Canis lupus familiaris: one gene and its partners. The protein of the gene in region 1 interacts with the protein of each later gene in a biochemical or structural test. Links are inferred from orthologs where the notes say so. Each region holds a gene or a part of one and is shown on either strand. Other genes may lie near its edges.

Region 1 (4,180 bases):
CTTTTTGGATTAAAAACATGAAACATTTTTCTCTGGTTCAGTGTCTAATATTCTAGAATCCATTCTAGGGGTAACCTCTGTATGGTATGTGGGTGGAGGACAACCATGGGGGGACTGTTACTATATCTATAAAATGGGGATGATCTACTGTTTGAACATAGAAACAAAGGAAAAACTACAATTTTTAAAATTTAAGGGGAAAAAAAAGCTGTCACAACCATCTTTTTTAAAAAAAAACAGGCTTAGGAAAAGAAAACAGGAGGAAAAATGAATGGTGTTGGCATCCTTCAACTTTTTAGCCTCTTAACTTTTTCTATAGTAAATGTTTTAATTTGCTTTTTAACAGCTATGACAACAGGATAGAGGTGGACAGGAAGTGCCAGGAGGAATGGCTGAGTTGTAGAGTCTTGCATGCTAGAGGTGCTCAATGAATGCTCACTGATGCAGAAGCTGAACCCGTAGCTTGTTTCAAAGACTGCCTCACACAAATGTCAGTGCAGAGGGTCAGAGGAGGCCACAGCTCAATCGGCCAGTGGCTGACCAGAGGTACAAGAGTGGAGAGTCTTGGAGGGGGTGTTTCTGGACTTCAGCTCTGGGGTGGTGCCAGCCCTCACCCCCACCCACCGGCAGAAAATGGATACTAGTGCTTCAAAGCTGTGAGGGCAGAGGCTCCTTCTTTGCCCATTGTCTAGTACCTTTTGGGCAGTTCACTAACTCAACAGTAGAATGGATGGAATGCTCAGGCCCACAAGGCTGCCCCTGACACTGCTGGGGGTGGGGTGGGTACATTTCCTCAGCCCAGTCTCTGGCAGCCCTCTGGGCCTGGAGCTCAGCTTCTACAGCCCCAGGTCGGCTAAGTACTTGTCAGTCAGCTAAATGCAGTTTTCAGGTCCAAGCCCCAGGCTGGCACCTGCAGAGAAAAAAGGCCCCTGGGATAGAGGTGACCCACCCTTAGTACAATCCTCCTCCCTTTACCCATCAGAAGGGTTCCTAACTTCCTTCAACCTGTATTATTAACATTTCTAGGAGGCAAGGCATCCCAGTGGCTAACTAGTTAACAGCTCAGGAAGTCTGGACTGGTCCCACCATTCCACTAGCTGAATGACCTATCATCTCTAGGTCTCAGCTTCCCTATCTGTAAAAGGGGATGGTTGTTGAGAGAGTTAACTGGGTGAAGTGCTTGGCACACAGCCTGACATATAAAACAGTCTCAAAACAATGGTGGCTCCTATTGTTATTATTATTAGCGTCTTGGTGATTCCGGAAGGAAGGCAGAGCTAGGCTGGGCGAGGGGCCAAGGGAGTTAGGGGAGACTTGCCGGGATGCCTCAGGGACCAGCTGCCACCCAGGCCCCCATAAGCAGTTGGATAGCTTCCACCTCCTTGCCCGGGCTCTGCTTCACCCCTCCTACTTGCTCCAGGCCCCCTGCTGAGACCCCCTCCTGCCTGGCTGGCCTGGCCCCTGCCCCCTGCCAGCAGCCTTCCATGCCCCACCTTCACCCACAGGCCCTGACAGTCAAGCTGGTCTCCACGCCCAGTCCTGCAGCTCACAGGTCCAAGCTCCAGGCCTCTAGGCCCTGCTCTCCAGTAATTAAGCAATCTTTTCTGGGGCCCCCAGTCCAAATTGCTCCTGAGCCTCTTGCTGCTCAGGGAGCACTTTATCAAGGCATCTCCCTGGAATATTTACTCTCTCCTGGCACTGGGGGCCTCCACTCCAGCTCCCAGAGGCCCAGCCCACCCATTACTTCCCTGGGGGCCTAGGGGTCTGCCTGCCTGATTAATGAGGCTCCATGGCAACCAGGGCCTGTGAGGGTGGAGGGTGGCAGATGGAAGGACAGGCAGAGGGAGGGGATCAGCAGCTGGCCCAGCCACCCCGCCCCTGCAGAGAAGGCCTCCCAGCCAGGAGGCCTGTCCCCAGAGGCCCAGAGGCCCAGGCCTGCACCTGGCAGTGGAGCATCTAGGCAGGAAGGAGGGTCTCCTCAATGACTCTTTCAGCAGTCTGGCCCCAGGATAGCCCCCTCGACCTCCTCAAGGGGCCCTGTCCACTACCCTGCCACGAGTTCTGGTCTGGAGCCAGCAGGCCTCAGTTCAAATCCCAGCCCCACCACTTGCAGCCGTATGACCGGGGGCAAGTCACTTCCCCTCTCCGGGCCTCCGTTCAGATGGGCACAGTGACAACACTGAGCTCACAGCATGGTTGTGAGTTCTGGCTCGAAGTTCGCCAGAGACCTGGCATGCAGGCAACACCAGCTGAATACACGTGGGCTATTATTACCACTGAGTCTGACCCTCGAGCGGCTCGGGGAAAGCCGAGGCCCAGAGCAGAGGAGCAAACAGCGACTGGCCCGAGGTCACCCCGCATCCCGGGGCGGGGCCCGGAGGCCCAACCCAGGCTCGACCCCGCCCAGCCCGGGAGCCTCGGCCCACCCCCTCCCCCCGCCCCCGTTGCCTCCGGGCCAAAAACCGCGCCCCGACCGGGTCTGCACGGGGGTCCAGACGTGCACTCGGCCCTGTGTCCCTGGTGTCCGTACCGGCGGGCGGCCGAGCGCAGGGCGCGGCGCGCTGGGTGTGGGCCGGGGCGCCTGCGGCGTGGCGAAGAGCAGCAGGTCGGGGTCGCGGGGGCCAGCGGCCGGCGCGGCCGGGCCGGCGGGGGCCGGCGGGGCGCTGGCGTCCTGCGCCGTGGAGATGATGACGATCTGCGAGGAGTCGAGCAGCCGCAGCGCGCCGGCCCCGAGCAGGGCCTCCAGCGCCGGCGCGCATGGGCCGCCTGCGGGGGCCCCGGCCACGGCCATGGCGCTCACGGCCCGCGCGGCCCGGGTGGCAGGCGGCGGCGGCGGCGCGGGCCCATGGCGGCAGGCCGCGGCGAGGGCTCGATCCCGCTCCGCCCCCGGCCGCCGCTGCCTGCAAAGTCCCGGCCACTTTTACGCGCCAAATCCTTTTTGCCGCGAAAGAGCCACGAGCCGCCGAGCGCTCTGACCATTGGCTGTCGGGCCCGTGACGTAGGCGACGGCGACGGGGTCCATTGGCTGCAGCGTGCCGGACCGGCGGCGGTGGGCGGGACGGGGCGTCGGCGCGAGGAGGCGCGGCCAATCGCGGGGCCGGGCGCGCGCAGGCTTTGTCGGGGCGGTGCCAGGAGCTCTCGCACTCCCCGCCCCCAGCCGGGACTGTCCCTACCCCGGGCGTGGTGGCGCGGCTCGCACCCCGACGCCCCGCGGACTCCGGGTCCCGGCATGTGGAGCCCTTTGGGTCAGTGTCCGTTCTGCGCTTCACACCGTATTCGGACCTCCCGTGACCCCCTAGACTCCGCCACCTGTAGCCCCAACAACCTTAGTCTGAATCACTTAGAAACTGCCCTTCCTTTTTTCTATGGTCAGGCCTGTCTCCAAAGCCCCAGCTGCCGCTCCCATCCTCAACTTGCCCCATCTATACCATTTACTTTCAAATCCTGCACCTGCCCTGTCCCTCTCACCCGGAGCCCCAGCAGAAGCGGGCTGTTAGAAAATGAGGAGGGACATCTGGCCCAATACAGCTTGGGGCTTTCCTGTAAGCCCCCTTTTAGCTGGAATCTCTTCAATAGCCGATGCACAGCTTCTGCTTGAACTCATTTATTCACCCATTTATTCAACAAACGTTTTTGAGAGCCTGCTCTGTGCCCCATTCTTAGTTCAGACCTTGAAGAGCTCGGTCTTGTGAAAAGAGAAGGAGAGGAATAGAAGTAACGAATGCTTGGAATATGAGGAGGAATTTCCACCATTAACTCCACGTTAGAGTTCACAAAGGGAGGAGGTAAGGGTGCTGAGCATGAAAATGCAGTTAATCCGGAGGCCCTGGGACCTCTCCATCAGCCATTTCTCATTGCTCAGGTCAGCTGATTTGACCAATATTGTCCTCTCCTCTGTGCCAGGCCTTGTGCCAGCTTTGAGGGCAGAGACGTGAGACTTGATCATTTCTATGAACTTGCCTGCCATCTGGTGGAGATGACCCACGGGGGGGGGGGGGGAGCTAATACACAAACAAGGATCAAATCCCTAAGCCCAGAATATACATGACTTCCTCCAGAGAGCCTCCAGAGTCCTAATTACTCACTTCCTCCATTGCCCAGTGCTGCCTCTGTCCCAACACTGACCACACACTCAGTTTCTCCATCTGCCTCTCCTACTAGACTGGGAGCTCCAACAGGG
Region 2 (4,263 bases), about 2.9 Mb from region 1:
CCACCATCTCCACACCTCTAGTCTCTACTCCATCTGATCTATGTGTCCCACTGTAGCCAGAGAGACATTCCCAGAATGCTATGGGTCATTTATCACCTCTTTTCATTAAAACCTCCACTGATAACGTCTAGGCTTTTAGTAGGGTATATGAGGTCCTTTGTAACCTACCTTGACCTATCTTCCATTTTCATCTCTGGTGACTCCTTCCCTCATCCGGGCATCTTTGTAATTTTTCAAACACACTTTGTGAAGTACTGAGTGCCAACTATGAGCCAGGCGCTAATCTAAACTTCGTAATACAGTGAACATGAAAAATAGGTCCCTGCTCTCATGCGATTCACATTTTAGTAGGAAGAGCCAGTGAATAAACAAGATAATTTCAGATAGTTATAATGGTGCTATGAAAACCATGAAATGGGATGTTAGGGGGGTGGGTCAGCTAATTTTAGATAGTGCTCTGGAAGGGCCTGGGAAGGTAATACTTAGTTGAACTTGATGACAAGGAGCCGGACAAGCAAAGACCTGCTATAGAGTATTTTGGGACCGACTGATCAGCATGTGAGAAAGGCCTTGAGGCAAGAACTAGCTTGGCTGCTTGGCATTTTCAAGGTTCCAAAACTAAGCAGTGAGGCTGCACCTTGTTATATACTTGGGTGGGGGCAATGAGGTGAGGCCAGATCACAGGGGCCCTGTGGGCCACTGAGTTTGGATACGATTTTAAGGGCAAGAGGAATCTACTGAAAGATTTTGAGCTAAGGAGTGACAAGGTCTGGGCTCTTCCAGTGAAGGGTTTCAGTGGAGCCGAAGTATAAGCTTGGGAGACCAGTTGCATGCCTTCAGCCATGCGCTCAGGCCATTCCCAAGCCTGGAATGACGGCCCTTCGGGGAGCTGATTACTGCAAGTCTCTCAGCCCAGGTCAAGCCTAGTTTGCCTCGCCAGCCCTTCAACCATTCAACAGATCACTCACGGAGCACAGGAAAGCGTCCCGAAGCCTCCCGCCGTCACAGAACCACTTTTTTCTGTTCCTGCCTCCGTCTCCTAACTCAAGGGGCAAGGCTCAGTCAGACTATGTTTGGCGGGACGGTGACAAACCCAGGCCCGAGGGTTAGTGGTACAGAGAAGGCTTCTCGGTAAGACGATGGAGGCCCAAACCAAAGAGCCGGTTAGACCAGGGCGGCGCAGCGGGCGTCAGGACAGGCCACGGACTACAATTCCCAGCAGACTGCGCGCGCCGGCCGATCCCTCCGCACCAACTTACTCCGCCGGCTGGGCTCACCGCTGCCCGCCAAGGACCAAACTCAGGGCTTTTTTTCTGGAACTGAGGTCCATCTTCTTATCACAGTTCCAGAGCGAGACCACCGAGTGCCTTGCAGGAGAAACGGACTTTTTTGAGGAGAACTGCGGATGCAGACTGCCGGAGAGACGTCGCTCTGAAGCCGCCGAGTTTCGCGCGCTTTGGCGCGGGGGGTTGTGGGTAGCGCGCCCAGGAGGGAGAAAGGAGCCGGGGGGCTGTGACCGCGCCGCCCGCGGGGCCGGAGGGGATGTTCGAAGACGACCCGCACGCCGAGGGGGCGGCGGTAGTCGCCGCGGCCGGGGAGGCGCTGCAGGCCCTGTGCCAGGAGCTGAACCTGGACGAGGGGAGCGCGGCCGAAGCCCTGGACGACTTCACCGCCATCCGGGGCAACTACAGTCTAGAGGTGAGCGGCGGCAGGTGGGCGGCCGGACCCGACCCCCGCCAGGCCCCACCCCCGCCCCGCCCCTGCCCCACCCTGTGGGGCGGTGGGAGTTTACCCACCGGGAAGGGTCGCGGCCCCGCCGGGCGCCGCAGAGTGCGGAGGGGGACGGGCGCGCGTAGACACCGACTATCCATTTTCTTTCTGAGGCGGGAAACCGAAGTCCGGAAGAGGAGCGGCTAGTCCGAGGTCGCACGCCCCCTCGGCGGGGGAGGGGTGGGGGTTCCCTAGACTCCGACCAGCTTCGCTTCGCCCAGCCGAGCGCCGCGGACATCACGATAGCGCCTGTAAATCTATTAAAAAAACAAAAAACAAAAAACAAAACAAAACAAAAAAACCAAAGAACCAAATGCGGGAATGCTAAGAGCTGAAGTGAGCTATAGTGCTGACATCACCGCCCAAGCCCTTTAAACACGTCATCTCGGTTCTCGCCACAACCCGGAGAGCCCGACCCGTGACCCCCATCCCACGGGAGCGCCTAAGCTACGTGGCCAGGGGCGCGCGGCTGCTGGTGGAGCCGCGCGGGGAGTCGGAGCCTTCGGACCGCTCCCTCACCCCGCCCCGCGGCCTCGACGGGAGGGCGGAGGTGTGCGGTGCTGGCCTGCCCGAGAGCGTTCAGCAGGTGGGGCCCAGCCCTCAGCCCGCGCCTGGTCCCGCCTCAGGGCCCTGAGGCTTAGCGCAGCGCCTGGCTCTGAATAAGGTTAGTGTGGCCGGTCACTACCGGATTCCTCACCCCACGCCCACGCCCCAGCCCCGCCCTCGCCCTCGCGGGAGTCCTCACAGCCGCCCCGTGAACGTGGTAGCGCAGTATTGTACCTGCTCTCCGGGTAGAGGACTGGCCTGCCTGTCCAGGGCCATTCTGCTGTTTGTTATAGGAAGCCAGTGTAGACGTAGGAATGGGATTTATTTCAGCACTTCACTCTAAAATTCAGAGGCTTTCCCGCACAATCTGACTCACCGGGTAAAATAAGTAATTCCTGGGTTCAGAGGCATGTAGGTGGGTACGTGGAGTTGAGCGTGTACGTGTGTCTGTTACACGAGGCGGGAAAATACCTAAGAGAGACACTCTTACATGTCTCTGGGATAGGACCGGGTAAACTGGATACAGGACAGCGACCATCCATGGGTGGCACGGCTCAAGAAAGAATAAGAAAGTAAGGGGGGGATTATGGATTATGCCTACTCAATGAAAACAAACTAATTTTTAAATGCCTGAGAAGGTGTTTCTGACTTCCCAAGTCCTCTGTCATTGAATAAACATTTACTGAGTGAAAACTGTAGTCCAGGCATTAAACTAGGCACTCTTTCAAATTCTTTTTTTTTTTTTTTAATATTTATTTTAGAGAGCACGCAATGGGGAGGGATAGAGGGAGGGGGGCAGCCGACTCCGTGCTGAGCGGGAGCCCAATACAGGACTTGATTCTAGGACTCTGAGATCGTGACATCAGCAGAAACCAAGAGTCGGAGGCTCAACCAACTCGAGGCCACCCAGGTGCCCCTCAAATTCTTGAATATACCAAGTTTCTTCCCACCTGTGTGTTTTCTCCATGCCATTTGCTCTGCCTGGAAACTTCCCTCATCCCCTACAACAGGCTATTTGAAGAACTAAGTCTCAAGAAATAAGTCAGCTAGGTGGAGTTGATCAGGACATCTTAAATGTTTGATTTAGAAAACAGACGTGTGAGGGACGCCTGGGTAGCTCAGTGGTTGAGCATCTGCCTTTGGCTCAGGCGGTAATCCCAGAGTCCTGGGATCAAGTCCCACATCAGGCTTCCTGCAGGGAGCCTGCTTCTCCCTCTGCCTGTGTCTCTGCCTCTGTGTCTCTCATGAATGAATGAATAAATAAATAAATAAAATAAATAAAACACAGATGTGTGAATTAAGATTTGGTGACCATTTATTCTATCCTATGTCTTTTGTTCTCCTCCTCCTCTTTTTTTTTTTTCCTTTTGATTGTTTTTGGTGAAATGCTCTTGAAGTAGGTATTTTCATGTATCTACTGTTTCTTAAGCCCTCTCCCCAGCTCCTACCCCTTTCAGTATATTAGTATATCCCACTTACCCCCTTGTTTATCCCTCTCACCCTCTTAGATTTTGGTGATTCTCCACTCAACCATTTTAAGTCTCCCTCTGAATCCTCCTCTGACCTCTACTCAAAATCAGTTACTATATTCTCATACTTTATCTTCAATTCTTACAACATATATCTCACCAATTATAGATAACCGTTATCTATTCCTTTTCTTAACTCTAGATTTGGAATTACAGAGGTCAGAAACCATCTTTGTATTCTAAGGTCTAGTATCAAAGAATTAAGATAATATAGTTGTTTTTTTCTAGGACAAAAAGCAAAAATATCAATATTAATTTTTTTTCTATCTTAATGGTGTTTTCATCTAGTAACCTGTACCCAGAAGCTAATACTTGGATGTACTTCCCCAACAATTATTAATCAAGGTATCTAAAAATATGCAACCATAAGCTTACATGTCTCATTTAATACCTTGAGCATGTAAGACTTCTCACTACA
Region 3 (4,307 bases), on another chromosome or scaffold:
CTAATATTAGACTGCATCCTGTATGGGGGTGGGGGTGTGTGGAAATTGCTATAAAGTTCATTATTGGGTCAATGGATAAAATTGGAATGCAGAGGATAGGCTTACTTAAGTTATATAAGAGGATGCCCCTATTCTTAGAAAATACACAGAGATAAGATGGGAAATGAGAGAGAGAGAACAAATTAATGGAGGAAAGATGTTAGGGATTGAAGCCGACAGCCAAGAAAGAATTCTTACTACATCTTTGGATATATGAAAGCACAGGGGCAGGACCTGTGGGCAGAAAGAGCTGTACTGGGGTCCTGAGGAGGGGCCCATTATATGCTTTCAAGTTGGGAGGGGGTTAGGGATAGCGTGCGTCTCTATGGAATTTTGGAAGCAGGGTTTCCAGGATCTTGAGGGGGCTGCCTATTGTTGGGAAAAGTCATCTATTATTGTCTAATAAACCCTTAGTCATGAGACCCTTCAGATGTGTATCGGTGGGTCATATGCTTGGGGAATGATTGCCAGCACATATCTTGGGGAGGGGGGAGGGGGGAGAAAAAGGAAATTTCCAAAGGAATTTTTATATGTTAAAGTAGATTTACAGAGTCCTGGGGGTGGAGCTAAGATTCCCTTTTGCCCTTAGCAAAGTATTAAGATGGAGATAGTAGAGCTCTTAGAGGAACATCACTCTGCCTATTTTAAGGACTTATCAATGGACTGCAGGTAGTAAGGAAATTTAATAATTTCTCTTCTGCTTTTGTTACCCACATCACAAATGATAGAATATATGAAACAAAACGTTAGCCATAGATGAATGTAAGGGATATATGTGTTGTTTTATTCTTGCCACTTTTCCATTTTTTTTTTTAATAGTGTACAGGGAACACAGGACTCTAAGCCCAGCCCCTTTGCTAAATTGGTGCATGACCCTGAATGAATCCCTTCCTCTTTTTCTAGAACCTCTTTTCTAAGGTAGTCTCTGGCTGTGGTAACCAATGTCCCGCGACTCAGGACACTTCCTGACAAGGCTTTGGAAAGGTGGCCCCGTGTGCTTCCCCTCAAGGTCTCTAAGCCCACCAGTTATCTACCTACAACTTTCCCCAGGGTGTCCACCCGTCCTCCTTCGTCAGCCATAAACCTGTCCCAGCCCATCCCTGCCGCCACCATCCGCATGCCCAGCGACTCTTCCGAGGGCCCTAAGGTCCACCTTCCTGCAGGCTCTAGCACAGGTTCAGGACAAGCACGTGCATTTATCCCCAAAAAACTACAGCCCCCAAAAGGCTTTGCGACAACCTTTCGACGTTACCCACCAAAGAGGAAAGGCTTTCCAGCGCGGGCCCGACATTAAATGGCTCTTTGGGAATTGTAGTTCATTTGCGAAGACCAGGGGAACCAGGGTGAGGCCGCAAGCCACCCTTCCCAGAATGCACAGCGCTCTTTCCCACCAATCGGAGGCCCGGATCTTGGAAAGGGGGCGGGGAAGAGAAGGGGCTGCCCAGCGCATGCGCGGTACGTGTGGCTGGGGAATTCATGTGGAGGTCAGAGTGGAAGCAGGTGAGAATGGAGGGAACGCGTTCGGCTGGTGTTCGGGCGCCTCTGCAGCTCCGCTCCGCGTTCCCGTTCGCAATTTGGGCGGGCAGGATGCGTGCGTCGGTCTGCCTCGCGTCGGAGGGGAGGGGGGTGAGCCCGGGACCAGCCAGGAATTGCGTCGTGTAAGGGAGGCGTGCATGGGGGCGGGGTGAGGAATAATCCAGAAGCTGTTGGAAATGGAAAAGCTGAGAGGTCCGAACTGTGTGTCCTGGCCTCAGGTTAGGAACAGTGAAGCACACCGGGAGCGATCAAGAAAGCCTCAGATCTGAGAGGGAGGGAGGGGGGAGGATTTGAATCTAAGTGGACGACGACGCTGGGGCGGGGCATTAATAAAGTTGTGTGCGGGAGTAGATTGAAGTTAGGTCCGTCGTGACCTTAGCCCCGCCCTCTCCCTTGCAGTGCATCTCTGGAGAGCCTTTTTGCCCCATTGGTTCTTCCGGTATCTTGGTCCCAGGATGCTCCCCAGATCCTGCTACCATCATAGCAAATCATTCTTTTTTTTTTTTTTTTTCTTCCCAAGACTTTAATTTCATGAGACACGCACAGAGAGAAGCAGAGACACAGGCAGAGGGAGAAGTAGGCTCTCTGCGGAGAGCCTGGTGCGGGACTGGATCCCAGGACCCCGGGATCATGACTTGAGCCAAAGGTAGACGCTCAACCAGTGAGCCCCCCAGGTGCCCCATGGCAGGTCATTCCTAATACTGGAGCGGAGAAATACTCCTCACAGTATGGTGAGGAGTTAAGTCATACCTACCCTAGACTTAGACCTCCAGGTTCTAGTCCTGGTTCCACTACGAAATGGCTTTGTGATCTTCCGCTTATCTTGTAAGTTTGCTGTGTGCCTCGGTTTCCTCATCTGTAATAACCTGCTTCATAGGGTTTGGTGTGAGGGTTAAATAATTGCCATTAGAAGACTGCCTCCTGGTATTAAAGGTAGCTGCTAGTGTCACTTATGCTGTTGGAATCACCATGTAGCACATTCTTTGAGTTACTTTTCCAAACCAGAATTGCACAGACCCTACCATATACAACCTTCGTCTTGGGGCCCACTTGTCCAGGAAGTGGAAGGGTGGTTTAGTGTGGTGTGAAATTCTCTGTGGGTAGCAAGCCCATACCTCATTCCTGTTATTGAATCAAGTGTCCCCAGACCCCTTTTCCTTAGTGGTAGAAAAAGAAAGAAGAAATGGAAAAATTTTGAAAGCAGAGGAATTAATACTGCACTTTTCCAAGCTGTAGAGTTATTTATTAGATGTCCCTCCATGCGAGATTTAGAGCTTTGAAGAATGGGGAAATAGGGGCACCTAGGTGGCTCTGTTGGTTAAGGGTCTACCTTCAGCTCAGGTCATGATCCCAGAGTCTTGGGTTCGAGCCCTGCATTGGGCTCCCTGCTCAGCGGGGAGCCTGCTTCTCCCTCTCCCTCTGACTGCCTCTCTGCACAATTGTGCACATGGTTCTCTCTCTCTGTCAAATAAATAAATTCTTTTAAAAAAAAAAAAAGTGGGGAAATAAATAGCCAGTTTGAGAAGTGAATATGGTGTCTCAGGGCTTTCTCTTAGAATTTTGAGATCAAGATGTTTTGTTTGTTTTGTTTTTATCCCATAGGTGTGAGTGGGTCCAGCAGAAGGAGATATGGCTGCCAAAGTGTTTGAGTCCATTGGCAAGTTCGGCCTGGCCTTAGCTGTTGCAGGAGGAGTGGTGAATTCTGCCTTGTATAATGGTGAGGTACTGGGGGAAGGGAGTCACTGCCCTTTGTCGGAGGATTTCTATTGGCTTGCACAGCCGATGTGACACTCCTGGTGGCCACCACTGTCTGTGAATATGTTTGTGACCCAAAGGGTCACCTGCTGCCATCCTACACCATATGGTTGCATTGTCACTTGAGCCTCTGTCCTGTAGCCATTGGTTCTCTCACAGCCTCTCTTCCCAAAGAGCTTCCCAGCCTACTTGTTGGTTAAACATTCCCAGTTGCTCTTACAGGTTTGAAGTGATGCTGCAGCACAGTGTCAGGATCTCACTGGTGTGAGGATTAAATAATTGCTGGCTAAATTAAATAGATTAAATAATCTCACTGGCTAGCTGAAATGGAGATCTCACGTATCCCCTTCTGCTTTGTGTGGTCACCTTTGGTGACCTTACCTGAGCAGGAACTTTTACTCTGCTGCATTTGGATCATTCCAGACAAAATACCTGCATTGTCCAGCCTGTTTTTTTTTGTTGTTGTTGTTGTTTTGTTTTGTTTTGTTTTGTTTTAAGATTTAATTTATTCATGAGAAACAGAGAGAGAGAGAGAGAGAGGCAGAGACACAGGTGGAGGGAGAAGCAGGCTCCATGCAGGGAGCCTGATGCAGGACTTGATCCCAGGCCTCCAGGGTCACGCCCTGGGCCGAAGGTGGCACCAAACCCCTGAGCAACCTGGGCTGCCCATTGCCCAGCTTTTAACAGTGAGGCAGGAGCTTAAGCTGACTTTTCTTCTGTGACCTTAGGCAAGCCATTTCCCCCTCTCTAGGTCTCAGCTTCTTTTTTGGTCAAACAGTAAGACTCAACTGGTTTTACCTCTAAGACTGCTTCCAACTCATATTTTCTGACTTTCATGGTTGGGAAGCAGCAGTAGATTGATCTGCCTCATGTGTGACTGTCTGGCAAGAGGAAGATTACTTTTCAGAGTGAAGATATTTGGAGCAACTCTGAAGTCTAATAAGGCAGAGACAGCAGCTGACAAGAAAAGCTTACTT

The links.
Region 2: the proteins of E2F1 (region 1) and RBL1 form a complex in vitro, tested with the Homo sapiens proteins (2 studies listed by BioGRID). The link is inferred for Canis lupus familiaris from reciprocal best matches to the Homo sapiens genes E2F1 and RBL1.
Region 3: the proteins of E2F1 (region 1) and PHB form a complex in vitro, tested with the Homo sapiens proteins (2 studies listed by BioGRID). The link is inferred for Canis lupus familiaris from reciprocal best matches to the Homo sapiens genes E2F1 and PHB1.

The regions. Positions count from the first base shown.
Region 1 is NC_049245.1:23,405,718-23,409,897, forward strand, and holds the start of E2F1 (transcription factor E2F1), read right to left. Parts: upstream 2,807-4,180; 5' UTR 2,792-2,806; coding exon 2,531-2,791; intron 1-2,530. UniProt on the Homo sapiens protein: Transcription activator that binds DNA cooperatively with DP proteins through the E2 recognition site, 5'-TTTC[CG]CGC-3' found in the promoter region of a number of genes whose products are involved in cell cycle regulation or in DNA replication.
Region 2 is NC_049245.1:26,323,131-26,327,393, reverse strand, and holds the start of RBL1 (retinoblastoma-like protein 1), read left to right. Parts: upstream 1-1,458; 5' UTR 1,459-1,542; coding exon 1,543-1,698; intron 1,699-1,796; exon of another isoform or gene 1,797-2,452; intron 2,453-2,550; exon of another isoform or gene 2,551-2,689; intron 2,690-4,263. UniProt on the Homo sapiens protein: Key regulator of entry into cell division. Directly involved in heterochromatin formation by maintaining overall chromatin structure and, in particular, that of constitutive heterochromatin by stabilizing histone methylation.
Region 3 is NC_049230.1:25,486,233-25,490,539, reverse strand, and holds the start of PHB (prohibitin), read left to right. Parts: upstream 1-1,502; 5' UTR 1,503-1,539; intron 1,540-3,177; 5' UTR 3,178-3,204; coding exon 3,205-3,292; intron 3,293-4,307.